Nothobranchius furzeri: one gene and its partners. The protein of the gene in region 1 purifies or fractionates together with the protein of each later gene. This does not show direct contact. Links are inferred from orthologs where the notes say so. Each region holds a gene or a part of one and is shown in the gene's direction. Other genes may lie near its edges.

Evidence for each region.
Region 2: the proteins of rps6ka1 (region 1) and cdc37 purify together in Homo sapiens (affinity purification with mass spectrometry; 4 studies listed by BioGRID and IntAct, with this or other methods). This does not show direct contact. The link is inferred for Nothobranchius furzeri from reciprocal best matches to the Homo sapiens genes RPS6KA1 and CDC37.
Region 3: the proteins of rps6ka1 (region 1) and hsp90ab1 purify together in Homo sapiens (affinity purification with mass spectrometry; 3 studies listed by BioGRID and IntAct, with this or other methods). This does not show direct contact. The link is inferred for Nothobranchius furzeri from reciprocal best matches to the Homo sapiens genes RPS6KA1 and HSP90AB1.

The regions. Positions count from the first base shown.
Region 1 is NC_091758.1:28,115,945-28,121,164, reverse strand, and holds the end of rps6ka1 (ribosomal protein S6 kinase alpha-1), read left to right. Parts: coding exon 1-74; intron 75-2,578; coding exon 2,579-2,701; 3' UTR 2,702-2,720; exon of another isoform or gene 2,721-2,846; intron 2,847-3,837; 3' UTR 3,838-4,238; downstream 4,239-5,220. UniProt on the Homo sapiens protein: Serine/threonine-protein kinase that acts downstream of ERK (MAPK1/ERK2 and MAPK3/ERK1) signaling and mediates mitogenic and stress-induced activation of the transcription factors CREB1, ETV1/ER81 and NR4A1/NUR77, regulates translation through RPS6 and EIF4B phosphorylation, and mediates cellular proliferation, survival, and differentiation by modulating mTOR signaling and repressing pro-apoptotic function of BAD and DAPK1.
Region 2 is NC_091745.1:3,428,539-3,433,731, forward strand, and holds the start of cdc37 (hsp90 co-chaperone Cdc37), read left to right. Parts: upstream 1-1,936; 5' UTR 1,937-1,951; coding exon 1,952-1,953; exon of another isoform or gene 1,954-1,959; intron 1,960-2,723; exon of another isoform or gene 2,724-2,784; intron 2,785-4,343; exon of another isoform or gene 4,344-4,585; coding exon 4,586-4,694; intron 4,695-4,931; coding exon 4,932-5,193. Other genes in the region: uncharacterized protein, read left to right, coding at 48-380, 459-713, 785-792; cmc4 (cx9C motif-containing protein 4), read left to right, coding at 1,664-1,721, 1,800-1,936. UniProt on the Homo sapiens protein: Co-chaperone that binds to numerous kinases and promotes their interaction with the Hsp90 complex, resulting in stabilization and promotion of their activity. Inhibits HSP90AA1 ATPase activity.
Region 3 is NC_091742.1:8,415,043-8,420,267, reverse strand, and holds the start of hsp90ab1 (heat shock protein HSP 90-beta), read left to right. Parts: upstream 1-1,742; 5' UTR 1,743-1,883; intron 1,884-2,646; coding exon 2,647-2,790; intron 2,791-2,860; coding exon 2,861-3,067; intron 3,068-3,150; coding exon 3,151-3,310; intron 3,311-3,408; coding exon 3,409-3,542; intron 3,543-3,611; coding exon 3,612-3,920; intron 3,921-3,990; coding exon 3,991-4,156; intron 4,157-4,248; coding exon 4,249-4,439; intron 4,440-4,553; coding exon 4,554-4,701; intron 4,702-4,779; coding exon 4,780-5,048; intron 5,049-5,148; coding exon 5,149-5,225. UniProt on the Homo sapiens protein: Molecular chaperone that promotes the maturation, structural maintenance and proper regulation of specific target proteins involved for instance in cell cycle control and signal transduction. Undergoes a functional cycle linked to its ATPase activity.

The DNA.
Region 1 (5,220 bases):
AACACCCCTGGATCGTTCACAGAGACAAGTTGCCCAACAGCCAGCTCCCACACCAGGACCCCAAACTGGTCAAGGTAACGCAACTCTGCACATTTTTTTCTTTCCTCCCAGAGGGGAAAGAAACATAATTGCTCTGCAAAAAGGATTTTTCAAGAAAGTTTGAAAAAAGCTTGTTTTTAGACATGTTGTCTAATGTTTAGTCATAAAAAGAAAACAAATCTGCAAATCAATACGACTTAAAATAAGGTAAATATTCTTAAATATGATCCAAATTTTCTGGTTTTCAGTAAAAGAAATCTGCCTTTGAGGTAAGCAAAAGTAACTTGGCTTTAATTCTTAAAACTAGAATAATAACCTAATGTTCAATTTCATTTTGCTTACCTCACTATGAGATCTTTTTACTCAACAAGAAAATGTGGATCAAATTTGAGAATATTTACTTTAAGTAGTGTTGTTTTGCAGAAAATAAAGATACCATGTCTAATAACAAGCCTTTTTAAAAATCGGTTTTTGCAGTGTGGAAATCTCAATTTCTAATTTTTTTTGTCATATTTATTGTGGCCACAGGAGGGCATAATGCCATTTAAATGTGTTCCTTTTGTGCTAATTTGTTTGTTTTTCCAAACTTTGCTCATAAGTCAGCCTAAACAATGAAGAAAAATGAAATACTTTCTTTAATAAAACACTGGTTAATTTAATATTATTATTACTTTTACTATTTATTTTAATCATCAGTATTACCACTCCACACACCGTCAGTGGGTGGCCTTGTCACATTAGAGTCCTAAACTGTTGCTTATATAAAGTCAACCACCAACACCCACATATATACCCAGCTGTTCACAAAAGTGACCACTAAGCATGTGAGCAATAACACGGGACGAGTTACATTTTTTAACATTTCAATTTAATTCAAATGGTTCCGGCAACATTAGGGATGCACGATATATTGGCATCAATCGGTATTGGCCGATGTTAGTCCTGTTTTAACATACAAGTATCAGTCTGATATGCAAAACTGGGCCGCAATCAGCAACCAATATTTTTTCCATCTCGTTTTCGTGTGTGTGTGTGTGTGTGTGTGTGTGTGTGTGTGTGTGTGTGTGTGTGTGTGTGTGTGTGTGTGTGTGTGTGTGTGTGTGTGTGTGTGTGTGTGTGTGTGTGTGTGTGTGTGTGTGTGTGTGTGTGTGTGTGTGTGTGTGTGTGTGTGTGTGTGTGTATGTAAAACCTTAGTTAAAATGGATTGGATGGAGAGTAAGTGATGCCACTAGTTCCCATAAATTACCTCAGTCCTCTAAAACACTACAGATCAGTAGAGCTCCTTCAGTTTTGATCAGAACTCTGGAATAAGAAGTGTGGCTCATCAATGGGTTAATAGTTATTTAGACAATAGGAAACAGTTTGTTCAAATAAATGATGCCAGATCTGAATTGAAAGATATTCATTATGGAGTGCCACAAGGGTCGGTCCTCGGACCTAAACTGTTCATATTGTTTATTAATGACCTTATAAATATATCTCATCTACTTGGTCCAGTTTTATTCAGGATTAAATATACATGAAGTAACTCAAGTAATAAACAGTGAACTGATTAAAGTAAAAAAAATGGTTTCATATAAATAGACGGTCATTGAACCTGAACAAAACAAACTATACTGTTTAACAACAAAAGAAACTGTGATGTATCTTTAACGATAGATGGAATGGAAATTCAAAGAGTAAAAGAAACCAAATTTCTTGGAGTCATGTTTGATGAGTGTCTCACTTGGAAATCACATAAGTTATATAAAGGGGAAAGTTGCCAAAGCCATAGCGGTATTATATAGAGTCACATTTCTGCTAAATTGGTCTGTGTTATTAATGTTGTATCACTCGCTGATTGAAACATATTTAATTTATTGTCTGGATATTTGGGGAGCCACATGCAAAACTTTTACTCAACCTTTGTTTATTTTACAAAAAAGAGCATTGAGGATCATTAATAACAGTAACTACAGAGATCACTCAAATTCATTATTCATTAGATATTAAATACTGAAATTTCCTGACTTGGTAGAGTGGAAAATATTGCAAATAATGTACAGAGCGAATACGAGTAATTTACCAACTAATATTCAGAAAATGTTTCATAGGAGAGTAAGTGGGTACATATTAAAAGGGACTGATGTCTTTAAAAAAACTAAATTCAGAACCAAAATGAAGGAATGTGATATTTCTGTAAATGGTGTAAGATTGTGGAATGCCCTTAACAGAGATATTAAAGATTCAAACTCACTTGCTATATTCAAAAAATGCATAAAATCAAATGTATTAAGCAATTGTGAAAAGGTAAATTAAAATGTCAATGATTATATATATAAAAAGTAGAAAGGGACTGAGGCTGTATTGTGTGTTTTACAGATAATTTTCTTTTGTAAAAAGGGGCAGAAATGATAAGATTTTTCTTCTATCTGCTCCTTTTCATTCAAATGTTTTTTTTTCATTATGTTTATGTATTGCATTTGCTTGTGTTTATTTCATAAATTTTGAATGAAATAGAGTAAAAAAAAAACAACCTCTTGTTATTGTTTACATTCAGGGTGCGATGGCCGCCACCTACTCCGCCCTGAAGAACTCCCAACCCCCTCCAGAGCTCAAGCCCATCGAGAGCTCCTTCCTCGCCCAGAGGCGTGTCAAGAAGCTGCCGTCCACCTCCCTGTAGAGACTCAACAGCTGATCAGGTCACCGGGGGCTCACCAGCACCACGCGGCTTTGCTTTGGGACGTTGCGTCCAGCCTCCAAATGAAAAGAATATATGTATAAAAAAAAAAGATTTAAAAAACAGCCAAGGAACACAAACAGTGGTCCTGCACTTGCTATCTGTGTGTGGGCCGATGTGATCCGAGCAGCAAGACGAGGGGGGAGGGGGGATGTCTTACTGCCGTGTGGATGAGCGACATGTGAGCGAGTGATTGCATGAACCTGCAACTGTTTTTGATGGTGACATGAACGTTTTCTCTCTGGATCGTTGCTGTAGTTGATCCTCGCTGCACGCTTGTCCGTCTGCCTGTTCCGTTGTCCGTCTGTCTGATTTTCTTTTTTTTGTTTGTTTTTTTTGGGGGGGTTTTTGCAGAGTTGATGAGCTTTATGTTTCTAAATGCGCTGCCAAATCAATCTGCACTCACACACACACACACACACACACACACACACACACACACACACACACACACACACACACACTCACACACACACACACACACACACACACACACAAACTGTTCAGCTGCTGTTCAATGTTTTTCAAAGAGCATAATTTCATAAAAATATAAAACCTCTTTCCACAAACGCCTTGTTGGTTTTGGTACAACCAAACCAGATGAGGTGGATTCTGGGGAGGAAGAAAAATACACGAGTATTTGCTTTTACAGTGCGATTGTGTGCGAGTGTGTGAGTTTGTGTGTGTCAGTTGCATGACTTGCAGTTTATGTTTGTTGTCTTGCGGGATGCTGCAGAGCCGTGCATGGTCTGGTGACGTAATGATGTCATGTGGCTTCCTCGTTTTTTCTGCTCTCCCTTTTCTCAGCTTCGTAAATCTGTTTGCAAACATTTGAAATGTTGACTATTTTTATGACTACAAAACTAGTAAAGTAGGTGGCTTTCCGTGAAAGAAAACCTGCCCGAGGAACAATGTGGCATGTTGCAGTTTGCTAAATGACTTTTTTTTCTGAAAGATGTATTTTCAAGGCTGTTTCTTGTGTTTTCAGCTTTTGTTGTTTGGTTTTTCATCTCAAGAAAGTGGGGATTTAAAATGGTAAAAGACACGCTGAGCTGATCTGTGGACTTGTTGCCTTGCAGGTCTCTTCTTCTTCCCTCATTGTGGAATTTCCCTTTTTATGCAATTCCTGAGTTTGGAATTCACCTTTTTTTTTTCTACACTCGACGGACCTTGATTTTGAGATGTTCTGAAGAAGTGTGTCTCAAACCGATTCCCACAGATGGGTAGGTCCTGCTTTCAGCTCGGTGCCTACATGTGAGGAAGCATGTCTGGAGTAGAAAACGGGATTGAGAATGAAAGAAGGAAGGACCTGTAAGGCTGAATAATCTGTTAGCCAGCTTTCTTACCTCTAAAGGGATCAAAGTTCTGATATATTTCTTGTTTGGTGGTCTTTTGACTGATGGTATTATGGTAAGATGTTATTGTATGATAAAGATGAAGATTTTTATATCTTATGATATTAAAGATTGAGTTGCTATGATCAAGTGTCCTGTTGTTTTCTTATTCCTATAAAAGAAAAAGCTCATAATTCACCTAGAACAGGCTAAATCCCTTTAGCGGCACTTAGTGTGGACATTTTGGTGTCGCTGCAGGCAAATCCGAAGAGAAGTGGATGTTTAAACTTTCTTTTCTGCTCAGTTTATTGTCCCTCAGATTAAAAAAAATCTGATTTTTGCAATCGTGCACAAAGAGACAGGAAACAATGATACAAATAAATCATCAGTTTTATTTTATTCAAATTTTTCATAATTTTGCGACTATTTTTAATCGTTTAATCACATCAGTTCTCTTTTTTATATTTACTACGCTGAAAATCCTCAGATGAATAATCAATAAATTGTAAAGCAGTTTGCTTTACAAAATTAATGTTTTCCTAATGTCTCCATAAAGAAACACTAGAGGGAGACAAAGTGCAAATGTCTGTATGCTCAAACTCAGGCTCTTATGTTTGTAAATCCAGGATCCTGTTAGGACATCTTTCAAAACAAAACAAAAAAACATTTAAATGTAAAGTTGCATTTATTTGCCTCCTGACCTGAATTATACAAGAATCCTTAAATTCACAGCTTTATGCATTTTAGGTCATCCGTCCAGCCTGACATCTAACAACATCTCTCTCTCCTCATCTGCAGCACCTTCTCCTCTCATCATCTCCACCTGCTTACCACCACCCTCCTACATATCCGACCTTCTTGTGACTGCATCTCACATATTTATACAGCATGTCTGAGATGTGCCTTCATTTCACACAAACACACACTCTGATATTTTACCACCAGCAGGATCTTTGACGTCATTTTACACAGAATTCACACTGCAGTGAAGAACTTGCACACACACCTACTTGCACATGCACAGAATGACTCAGGCTGCAGCAGCTGAAAGACAAAACTTATTGATTAGAGAACGGTGGAAAAGCAGCTCCATCTTTTGTCTCAGTAGAAGATTCAGAGTTTCATTCT
Region 2 (5,193 bases), on another chromosome or scaffold:
GACAGAGCTGAATGTTTGAGCTGAACTTTTGATCCCCTTCATTTCAGAATCTCCCGACAGTGTTTCCATCAGGTTGGTGAACCACACCGGCCCCATGATGGAGGGGAAGGAGTACCAGCTCCTCTGTGAGGTTCAGAACGTTGCTCCTGTTCAGTATCTCACCCTGAGGTGGTACAGAGGTCAGACAGAGGTGTACAAACACTCCTTCTCTGACCTCACATCTTCCTCTCCTGTCCAAGTGTCTTCTACTCTTGTCATCACACCAACCAAAGCTGAGAACGAGGCAGAGTATAAGTGTGTAGCAGAACTGGAGCTTGGACCAGAAGGACCTCAACCACCTCCAACAGTGTCTTCAGAACCTCTCACTGCCTATGTCCTCTGTGAGTTATGAAGCTACTTTCACTCCTAAAATGTCCCAATAATGAAACGTAAAGTCTGTCATTCTTTTTTTTTTTTAGTTCCCCCAACTTTTTTCAGTCCTGAAACAGAAGTTTTAGAACTTACCGAGGGTGATGGGATCACCCTAAACTGCACAGCTGCAGGAAACCCTGCTCCTGCCTACAGCTGGCAATCCTCCCATCCCATAGAGGAGCGGGTGAAGGAGGAAGCAGTCATCACCTCCTCCTCCCTTCTCCCTGGGACATACACCTGTGCTGCCTCAAACACGCTGGAAAAGAAGAGCAAACAGTTCATTGTCAAAGCAAAGACCAAAGGTAAAGGGGAAGTATGAGGAACTACATCTGCAAGTAAAACTCTGCATCCTAATTTGTTTTCTGTTGTTCAGGTGTTTAAGGCCCACTAACAGGACTTGAATCAGCTGGAAGAATTTCACTGAGCAGGTTTTATTGCTGCTGCCTCATGAGATGGAAGCATTCAGTAATCAGTGGATGTTTTGATGTATTCTGTTATCATACAGAGTTAGATCTCACAAAGAAGACAAATGAAGATGTTTAGCAAACGCCATTTATTATGTGAAGGTTGATTTTTGTCGTAGTCTACTGTTGTTGTTTTATGTAATAAAATTTCCCTTATTATATATGTACTAGAATATTTTTAATGATCTAATAAGTAAAGAAAATCATAATTTGACAAAGTATAACTACCCTTGATACGCCAATGACTAACAATGTGAAGTTACTGTAAATATGAACTGTTTCTAAATGTTCTTATCTTTATAAATAAAGTTAAATAAACAAAAAATTCTTTTTATGGTTTGATTTTTAAACGTGTATTTTGATAGTTATTAGTGCCAGTTCTGAGTAATGTAAATAAATAAACAAAATTTCCGTACTTGTGAAAAATACCTCCCACCAAAAGATTATGGCTTCTTTAAAATGTAAATTTATACTTTCTGAAGGTTAGTTAATGAAAAAAATATTCAAAATTATTCTATAAATACATTTTATGTTCGGTTACTGCAAAACATTTTGGAATTACATTTAGGTTTTCAAGGCGACGTTGTCAAATTCCTTTGCAACACCAGAGGTCGCTGTTGTTCATTGTCCGGATTTGATTAGATCTCGTTGCGTCACATGATCACTCTCGCGAGAGGAGAATGCATCGCACTAGCTAAGACGTCCAGGTGGGAATCGGCTTTTAGCTCCTTTTGGGTATCCTGATGCTTTAAAATTTGATTACACTATTGCTGCGTTTTCTTTCAGGCATGCCGGAGAAAGATCCGTGTCAAAAACAGGCATGTGCTATTCAAAAGTGTCTGCAAGGTACATTAAATGTAGATGAAAATGCTGCTAGACAGCGGGCGAACCCCACAGTCACATAACTCCGTTCCACTCCTGCAGCCAACAACTACTCGGAGAGTTTGTGTGAGAATGTGATCCGAGAGATGCGGCGGTGCTGTGAAGCTCAGGCCGGGAAATCCATCTGCTGCTCCGGGTTTAGGGAGTCCAAACCAACGGGGAACAAGAGCAACGCATAAAAACATCTCAATCAAATGTCAGTGTGTTTGGCATTTACCGTTGGAATGTATTCATTATTACATGTATCATAATAATTATCATAAAAGTACACACTAAACTTAACACTGGACGTGTAAACGTGTAAAGCTTTAAGATAACACTCCTCCCTGGCAGTGTGATTAACTACAACCAGGTTATGTCCACCGCCCTCTGATCGTGTTAAAATGATCGAATCTTTGCATGCCAGTGAGCTGAAGATCACGTGAGACCATGGACGTAATTTTGGGGGGGGGGGGGGGGGGGGTCAGGGGGACATGTCCCCCCCACTTTTTCCAAAGTCAAGTTTTGACCCCTGCACTTTTTACCATCCAAAAACAATTTTACGCTATATTAAATTCACACTGGTTGAGCTCTAGGACCAAGTGGAAAACAACTGTTTGTGTTGAAGCCTGTTTCCCATTAGAGCATACTGTAAAGATACCCCCCCCCCCCCCCACACACACACACACCCGTGTCCCCCCCACTTCTAAAGTGAAAATTACGTCCATGCGTGAGACTGTTATAAATATGCTTGCTTACAGAAACAAATACATTAAAAGACTGATAGTAGACATCTTGACTGTGATTCTGGTGGCAGACCCAAACTAAACTCCTGATATTTATATTAAAGTGGTCCCAGCTCTCCTCGTGTTTATTCTGCTCAGAGCTCTGGGTTAATGTAAACGTGACGATTCACGATCACCAGGTAAAACATTTAACTGATCTATATTTTTGTCTATTTGTGTGTGTTTTCATGTCCCTGTTCAGGTCTGTAAAAATAGGTTTTTTTATCATCATGCTTGTGAGTAATGCACATATAGAACACACTGTAAGTATTTTCAGAAACATTTAATTTCTAAAAACAATCTCATGTGTGGCAATAATATGTTCCATATTACACCATCCTAACACCAACTTTCATCCTTCAGTCATTACTTCTTTAGAAGCTTCCTAAACAGATTGATAAAGAGAGCAATTATTCTATTATTATTACACATACTATTTTAAAACTGACCATTGCTAACAAAATACTAAAATTCATTGCAAAAGTCATCCATTAATAAATTATTGATCACGTCGAGGTTCCATCTTCACAGTGCAAACATTGAGATTACCAGTTTCAAACTCTTGAAATCATTTAGATTTATTCTAATTGAATGTGTCCAACAAAATGCTTACTGGCACTTATAAGAATGTCCATGTTGGGTGGATGAAGGGCTGAAAGCAAACGAAACAAGAGAAAATTTAACAATTCCAGAGATGAGCTGATTCTGGATTTAAGGGCCAACATGCAGATTTCTTTTTCAACCCTGACCTGCTGAGCTGATACTACTATTTTGGGCTGTTTATGTTTAATGAAAAATCAATCAGATTTTTGGTATTTGGATGATCACTGGTTAAGACGCCATACTGAATACTGGCTTGTTTGGATCTCCAGTCAGCTTTCAGGGTCAGCTCTAATTATTGTTTCTTGAGAAGCGTTTGCTAGTTTATATCTAAACATTTACTTGTGGTTTTTCCATCCAAAGAATAACAAAAAATAAAATGAAAAAAAAAAAAAAAAAAAAAGCTGAACACTATACCATCATCAAGACCTCTCAGCCTCTGTTCTTGGTCCAGTAAAGAAGGTAAGATGTCTCGCTGAGAAAACAGCCTCAGTCTGTGGATGTTTGACAAGGGGGAAAAGTCCAAGAAGATAGTTTTATTCGGTAGAGAAAAACAGTTTGCTTTTTTAAGTTTTACAGAAATGTTTAGATTAGCTGAAAAATAATTGTGTAAGATACTTGATATTTTATAGTACTTTCAGTTTAGCATACAATAATAAGTTAATAAATAAAAGAAAGTCAAAGCACAAATGTGGAGAAAAAGAAGTCACGTCTTGTAAAGAAACTACAAAAATAGTTGTGATGTAAATACTTTTATAATCTGTACAACAGACTAACATTCTGACTAATCTGCTGCTAACCAGGTTTAACTATATGCAATAATATGAGGATAAGGATGGATTGGTACACGATCAGACATTATGGTTTTTATGTAGGCTACACAAATGGTATCTATATAGTGGAAACGATATTTCGGTTGTTTAGAAATCTGAGTAACTACAGTAAAAATACGAAGAAAGAAATGAAGGAAATCTGTTCAGTTCACTTTTGTAACTCATGGTGTTGTGCCGGAAAAAGCCCCTCTGTTCGTATAGGCATTTGTGTCAAACAGACTTTGTTCGAAACCGAACTTTAACTCATACATCTTTACTTGTTTATTAACGGGGTGCGTTTGTGAAAAACTTGGTTTTTCTAGTAAGTTTAACATACGGTCGCAGGCACATACGAGTGCATTTTTTACCACAACACCTGCGTCATACGTGCCTTTTACGTCATGACGTTTAGGCGTGTAGCGGAAGCTTGCAGCAGCGAATCTTTCTAGAATTTTGTAGCAGCATTTGGCTAACTGTCGCTGAGACAGTCCAGCTCCTTCCCTTCTGATAAGACTACAGTCTAATGCGCCGTTGGTAGTTAACACATCTTTCGGAGACTTTGGAAAGCGTCAGAGTGTTGTTGAATTTGTTTTTCCGAGAGTTTTAATTGAAATTATCGAACTCTTAAAACAAGCTAGGTTCTGGTTTACAGGATGTCCAGGATAGATTACAGCGTGTGGGATCACATTGAGGTCTCGGACGATGAAGATGATACCCACCCAAACATTGACACACCCAGCCTCTTCAGATGGAGACACCAGGTACCTTTTTGATTTATAACGTGACTGAGTTTTGATTTTCTTTTAACTTCGGACTGGTACTTTGGTTAGCTGGCGTCCTAGACTCAGTTTGGTGTTGCAAACAACATTCTCCCTATGCTAATTCCTAGCAAACCTGTTTATGTAGCTGTAGTGAATTACTAAGCCTACAAAACTTGTAACAAAGTGTATTGTAAAAGTTTTGTACCTCCAGTTGTGATTGGCATCATCCCATTTCAGGCACGTGTGGATCGAATGGAAGAGTTCCAGAAAAAAGGAGAAGACATCAACAAGAGCCTGAAAGAATGTCGGCGCAAGCTGACTGAGACGCAAAAGAAACTGCAAGAGCTAAATGTGTCGGGTGAGGCCAAAGCAGAGCTGAGCAAAGTCCAGGCTGAGGAGAAGAAATTGAAAAAGGAGGAGAGAGATTGGGAGAGGAAGTTGGATGAATACAACAGAGAGGAGAAGAAGATGCCGTGGAACGTGGACACACTCAGCAGAG
Region 3 (5,225 bases), on another chromosome or scaffold:
TACGCTAAAGCTAGCAATGAGCACGTTACCCGATATAACACCGGCACAGCTAAAATGCTAAAGTAACCTAGCCCGAGCAGATGTTAATTTATAATAAAACACTGACTTTCCCAAGGCTAAACATGAGCTCGAAGTAAATATAAAAGCCTCTACATATACCTACCACTCAACCAGGTGGCGTATGATGAGATAAAATCCACTAAAAATGTTAATGATAGTGAATTAATAGCTAACGTTCTGGACGCCTGATTAGCACGCTAGCTGGTCGCGGGCCCTCGAAAAGTTTGACGCACGCGCTTTAGGAGCAAGAGTACTGGCGCGCTTGTTTTGTGCACCAGAGTGTATACACTGAACGGGGCTTAATGTGAATTCGCAAAATGAACCCTTTTCAGGAAACGAAACTTCTGCTAACAGGGTTCGATCAGATTACCTAACTAACCTTGGAAGACCTAATGCGCGGTAGTAACTAAATGAATAAAAAAGGTTGAATAATAATAGCATTGAAATTAAGTTACACCAAAAAAGCGGTCCGCATTTTTTTTATTAAAACGATTTGTTTCTAATCGGTTTAATTTACAAAACATCTGATCACATAAAAAAACAGCATTGTGATTTTCCTACTCGTTTTAATCAATTAGAGGATAAAGCCATCATATGATTATTTCAATGTTAAACTTCTTTTTAAATGTTTTTTAAAAGAGTACATAAAAATTCTGTGTACATTATTGTTAAAATGGTCATTCTTACCAATTCTGAAATTGTAACTAATAAATAACATATTCTGTATGCAAAGTATGACTGTACTTCTGTTATTTATCACTGAGGTTACTATCTAAATTTATAAATGTGTCTTCTGTAGTTAAACTACATAATAGAAAGCTGAATCATAATCATTTGTGCATCTCTTGCATTTGATGGGTCTAACTGCGTACATTTATTCCACTCTAATCCACTTGACAACAGTGACTTCTTCCCCTTACACTGTACTAAAAACTCAATTCCAAAGTCGTGATCAACATGACAAATATAGTATTACATTTATGTATAGCAGTCCATCTTCCACTGGTGTTCTATGTCCATAAGAAAATCTGTAATTCATATAATAACAACCATTAGTTCATTTGACAATATAAAGCATATATTCTCATGATTCAGTACGGAAAAGGGTTGAGTTGATGGTTGTTAAGGCGTTTTTGCTGTAGGAACATTTTGTGACAGATGATACGTCGGGAGAGGAAAGGGGGAGATCTGTGACGTCACTTTAAGGCGGGGCTTTCATGGAAAGTGCTAGAAGCAGGCTAGAAGAAACGAAGCACACCTTCTCGTGTTTGAAATATTCATCCGTCGGAGTAAAAAGACCCACAGTCTATGTCGAATTTCAGGGAAACTAGACGCCACTTGAGATTTGAACTTGACGCGTGGTTTTAGTGTTATGCGAATCATTTCTCTATGTTGTCGCTAGATGGGATGATTGAGATCAAAAAACATCGCCTCTCAGTGCATGGTTTGCTGTAGCTCAACCTACCACAAGATGGCGACAACGTTACACTAAGGTCCGACTTCGTATACATTTTCTTTACTTAGATTGCATAATTGGCATTTAAACCCTTTTTACCCAACAAAACGTGAATAATAGATTATTCTTTTCCAGTGAGGAAGCATACAATGTGTGTTTAGTTCTGGCTGCGGTTTTACATAAAAGTGATTGCTTCAGGTTGTAGCTCGTGAACTGCGGATGGATACGACTGCACACTGCGACCCACGTGTATAAAGACTGGTCTGGTGCCGAAAAGTAGTTCCTTTCCTTTTTCTTCAGTCAGGGAGCGCAAGGGACTACACTTTTGCTGCATTTTATTCAAGAAAAAGTCAACGAAATTACCAAGGTGCGTACATTAACGGGTCCGTAGCTCGTGTCAGACATCCTTACCTTTATAAGTTTGTTAAAATATCATCGGTATGTATGTGTTTAACGAACATTATTAGTTAATGAAAATCCAGAGGTTAATATGGTGGTCGAATAAGTGTTTCGTGGAAGACAGACGCCTAGTACGTCGGCTGATGTTTTCATTTTCCTCTCGAGAGACTACTATTTGCTTATGTTTCCGAGCATCGTAGTGATGCTCTTGAGCAGCGGGAATGCGGCACCGTGATGTCAGGCAGGTGTGGTGACGGTGACTCCGCTGGATCGAGTTCTCGGCCTGATTAAATCCGTTATAAACCCACGTTAAACCGGTACACTGAGTTTAATGTGTGCGTAATAAGGCCTGGTTACCAGCCACGAGGGGTAGTGTTCATTTGGTCGTTACGTAATTGAACGCGGTTTCAATTAACCTCCACGTTTTACTGAAACTATCACATGGAGGCTAAAACAAGTACGTTTGTAGTATTTATGGAAGTCGTCGTCGCATTGTTTATCTATTAAAGTGACTTGAGTTGATCCGCCTTAATCGTTCGCCAGCACGTGTTTGCTGCGTCCATTGTCTAGTAGAAGCCATGTTTGTTAACTGACACTTCCGCCCTTATGTAGCAGACTGCTGCAGCGGCCATCCAACTTAATGAAGCCACTTGACGAAATCGCGTTACTTTGAAACTATCTTAAGTTCTGTTTCACTTTCATTTACTGAAGTGACTTTGTTATATTTTCAGATGCCTGAAGAAATGCACCAAGAGGAGGAGGTTGAGACCTTTGCCTTCCAGGCAGAGATCGCTCAGCTGATGTCCCTGATCATCAACACCTTCTACTCCAACAAAGAGATCTTCCTTAGGGAGTTGATCTCAAACGCTTCTGATGTGAGTCTGCTGAAGCTTCAGTATTCTTCTGACTTTAAGGAAGAAACTAACCGCTATTCCCTGTTTTCAGGCTCTGGACAAAATCCGCTATGAAAGCTTGACTGACCCCTCAAAACTGGACACTGGCAAAGATCTGAAAATTGACATCATTCCCAACAAAGCTGACCGGACTTTGACCCTGATTGACACCGGGATTGGCATGACCAAAGCTGACCTTATTAACAACCTGGGCACCATCGCCAAGTCGGGCACAAAGGCCTTCATGGAGGCCCTCCAGGTACTACGCATCCCATAATGGCCTGCACAGGATCTTAAGAGACTGACTGATCTTGTGAAGCTAAATTTGTTTTATTCCTCCAGGCTGGTGCTGACATCTCAATGATTGGTCAGTTCGGTGTGGGTTTTTACTCTGCTTATCTTGTTGCTGAGAAAGTGGTCGTCATCACCAAACACAATGATGATGAGCAGTACGCCTGGGAGTCATCTGCTGGAGGTTCCTTCACAGTCAAGGTTGACAGCGGTGTGTAATTCTAACCATCACCAGTGACGTCTGAGTGTGCACTACTTGCTTACTCTAGTTTATTTTAGCTTTTCTGAAAATTCCTCAAATGTTTTCAGGCGAGCCCATTGGCCGTGGAACTAAGATCATTCTGCACCTGAAGGAGGACCAGACAGAGTATGTGGAGGACAAGAGGGTCAAGGAGATCGTTAAGAAGCACTCTCAATTCATTGGCTACCCCATCACCTTGTTTGTAAGTGCTTAAAAGTACGTTTTAAAAATTTTAAGTCTTGGGCAGATTTCTAAAGCTTTTATGTCGCAGGTGGAGAAGGAGCGCGACAAGGAGATTAGTGACGACGAGGCAGAGGAGGAAAAGACCGAGAAAGAGGAGAAAGAAGAAGAAGCTGAAGACAAGCCCAAGATTGAAGATGTGGGTTCAGATGATGAGGAGGATTCCAAAGACAAGGACAAGAAGAAGAAGAAAAAGATCAAGGAGAAGTACATTGATCAGGAGGAGCTGAACAAGACCAAGCCCATCTGGACCAGGAACCCCGATGACATCACAAATGAAGAATATGGTGAATTCTACAAGAGTCTAACAAATGACTGGGAGGATCACCTGGCTGTCAAGGTACACGAGTTTCCGACAAAGTTTTAACCCTGCGGGCTGATTTTTTTTCTAATGCTTTATTTTCTTTCAGCACTTCTCTGTGGAAGGCCAGCTGGAGTTCAGAGCCCTGCTCTTTATTCCTCGCCGTGCACCCTTTGACCTCTTCGAGAACAAGAAAAAGAAGAACAACATCAAGCTGTACGTCAGGCGGGTCTTCATCATGGACAACTGTGAGGAGCTCATTCCTGAGTATCTGAGTAAGTTCAGCTGCATTTTCCACTGTGGTCTGAAATGATTCCACAGACTCTTTAAATGGCTAATGCATTTAAAATTACTTTGTCCACTCAAGACTTCATCCGTGGTGTTGTGGACTCTGAGGACCTGCCCCTCAACATCTCCAGAGAAATGCTGCAGCAAAGCAAGATCCTGAAGGTTATTCGCAAAAACATAGTCAAGAAGTGCTTGGAGCTGTTTGCAGAACTGTCGGAGGACAAAGACAACTACAAGAAATTCTACGAGGCTTTCTCAAAGAACATGAAGGTATTGAAACTAAATGGTGGATTCATCTGAATTGGCTTGGTGTGTTTTATAAACTGAGGGACGCATTGCTGTATTTTGCATTTAAAGATCATGTTTGGTTGCTTTTTTCCTCAGCTGGGCATACATGAGGACTCTCAGAACCGCAAGAAGCTGTCTGAGCTTTTGCGCTACCACAGCTCCCAGTCTGGTGATGAGATGACCTCCTTGACTGAGTACCTCACCCGCATGAAGGAAAACCAGAAGTCGATCTACTACATTACTGGTACTAACACACACTATCTGGAAACCACACCTCCCCGTAGACTTGTTCATCCTTGCTGAGGATCTGGTTTCTCTGCAGGTGAGAGCAAAGATCAGGTGGCCAACTCCGCCTTCGTCGAGCGTGTCCGCAAACGTGGCTTTGAGGTGCTGTACATGACAGAGCCCATTGATGAGTACTGCGTCCAGCAGCTGAAGGAGTTCGATGGCAAGACCCTGGTCTCTGTCACCAAGGAGGGTCTAGAGCTGCCTGAAGATGAGGATGAGAAGAAAAAGATGGAGGAGGACAAAGCCAAATATGAGAACCTCTGCAAGCTCATGAAGGAGATCCTCGACAAAAAAGTGGAGAAGGTGTGTGTTTTGGGTTTCCTTTCCCTGTAGGCTTAAGTTTTCATGAAGGGTTTCCTTGTGGTCCAACATGGTGTAAACCTTTGTGCTTAATTTCCTCCAGGTGACTGTGTCCAACAGGCTGGTGTCTTCCCCTTGCTGCATTGTGACAAGCACGTATGGCTGGACGGCAAACATGGA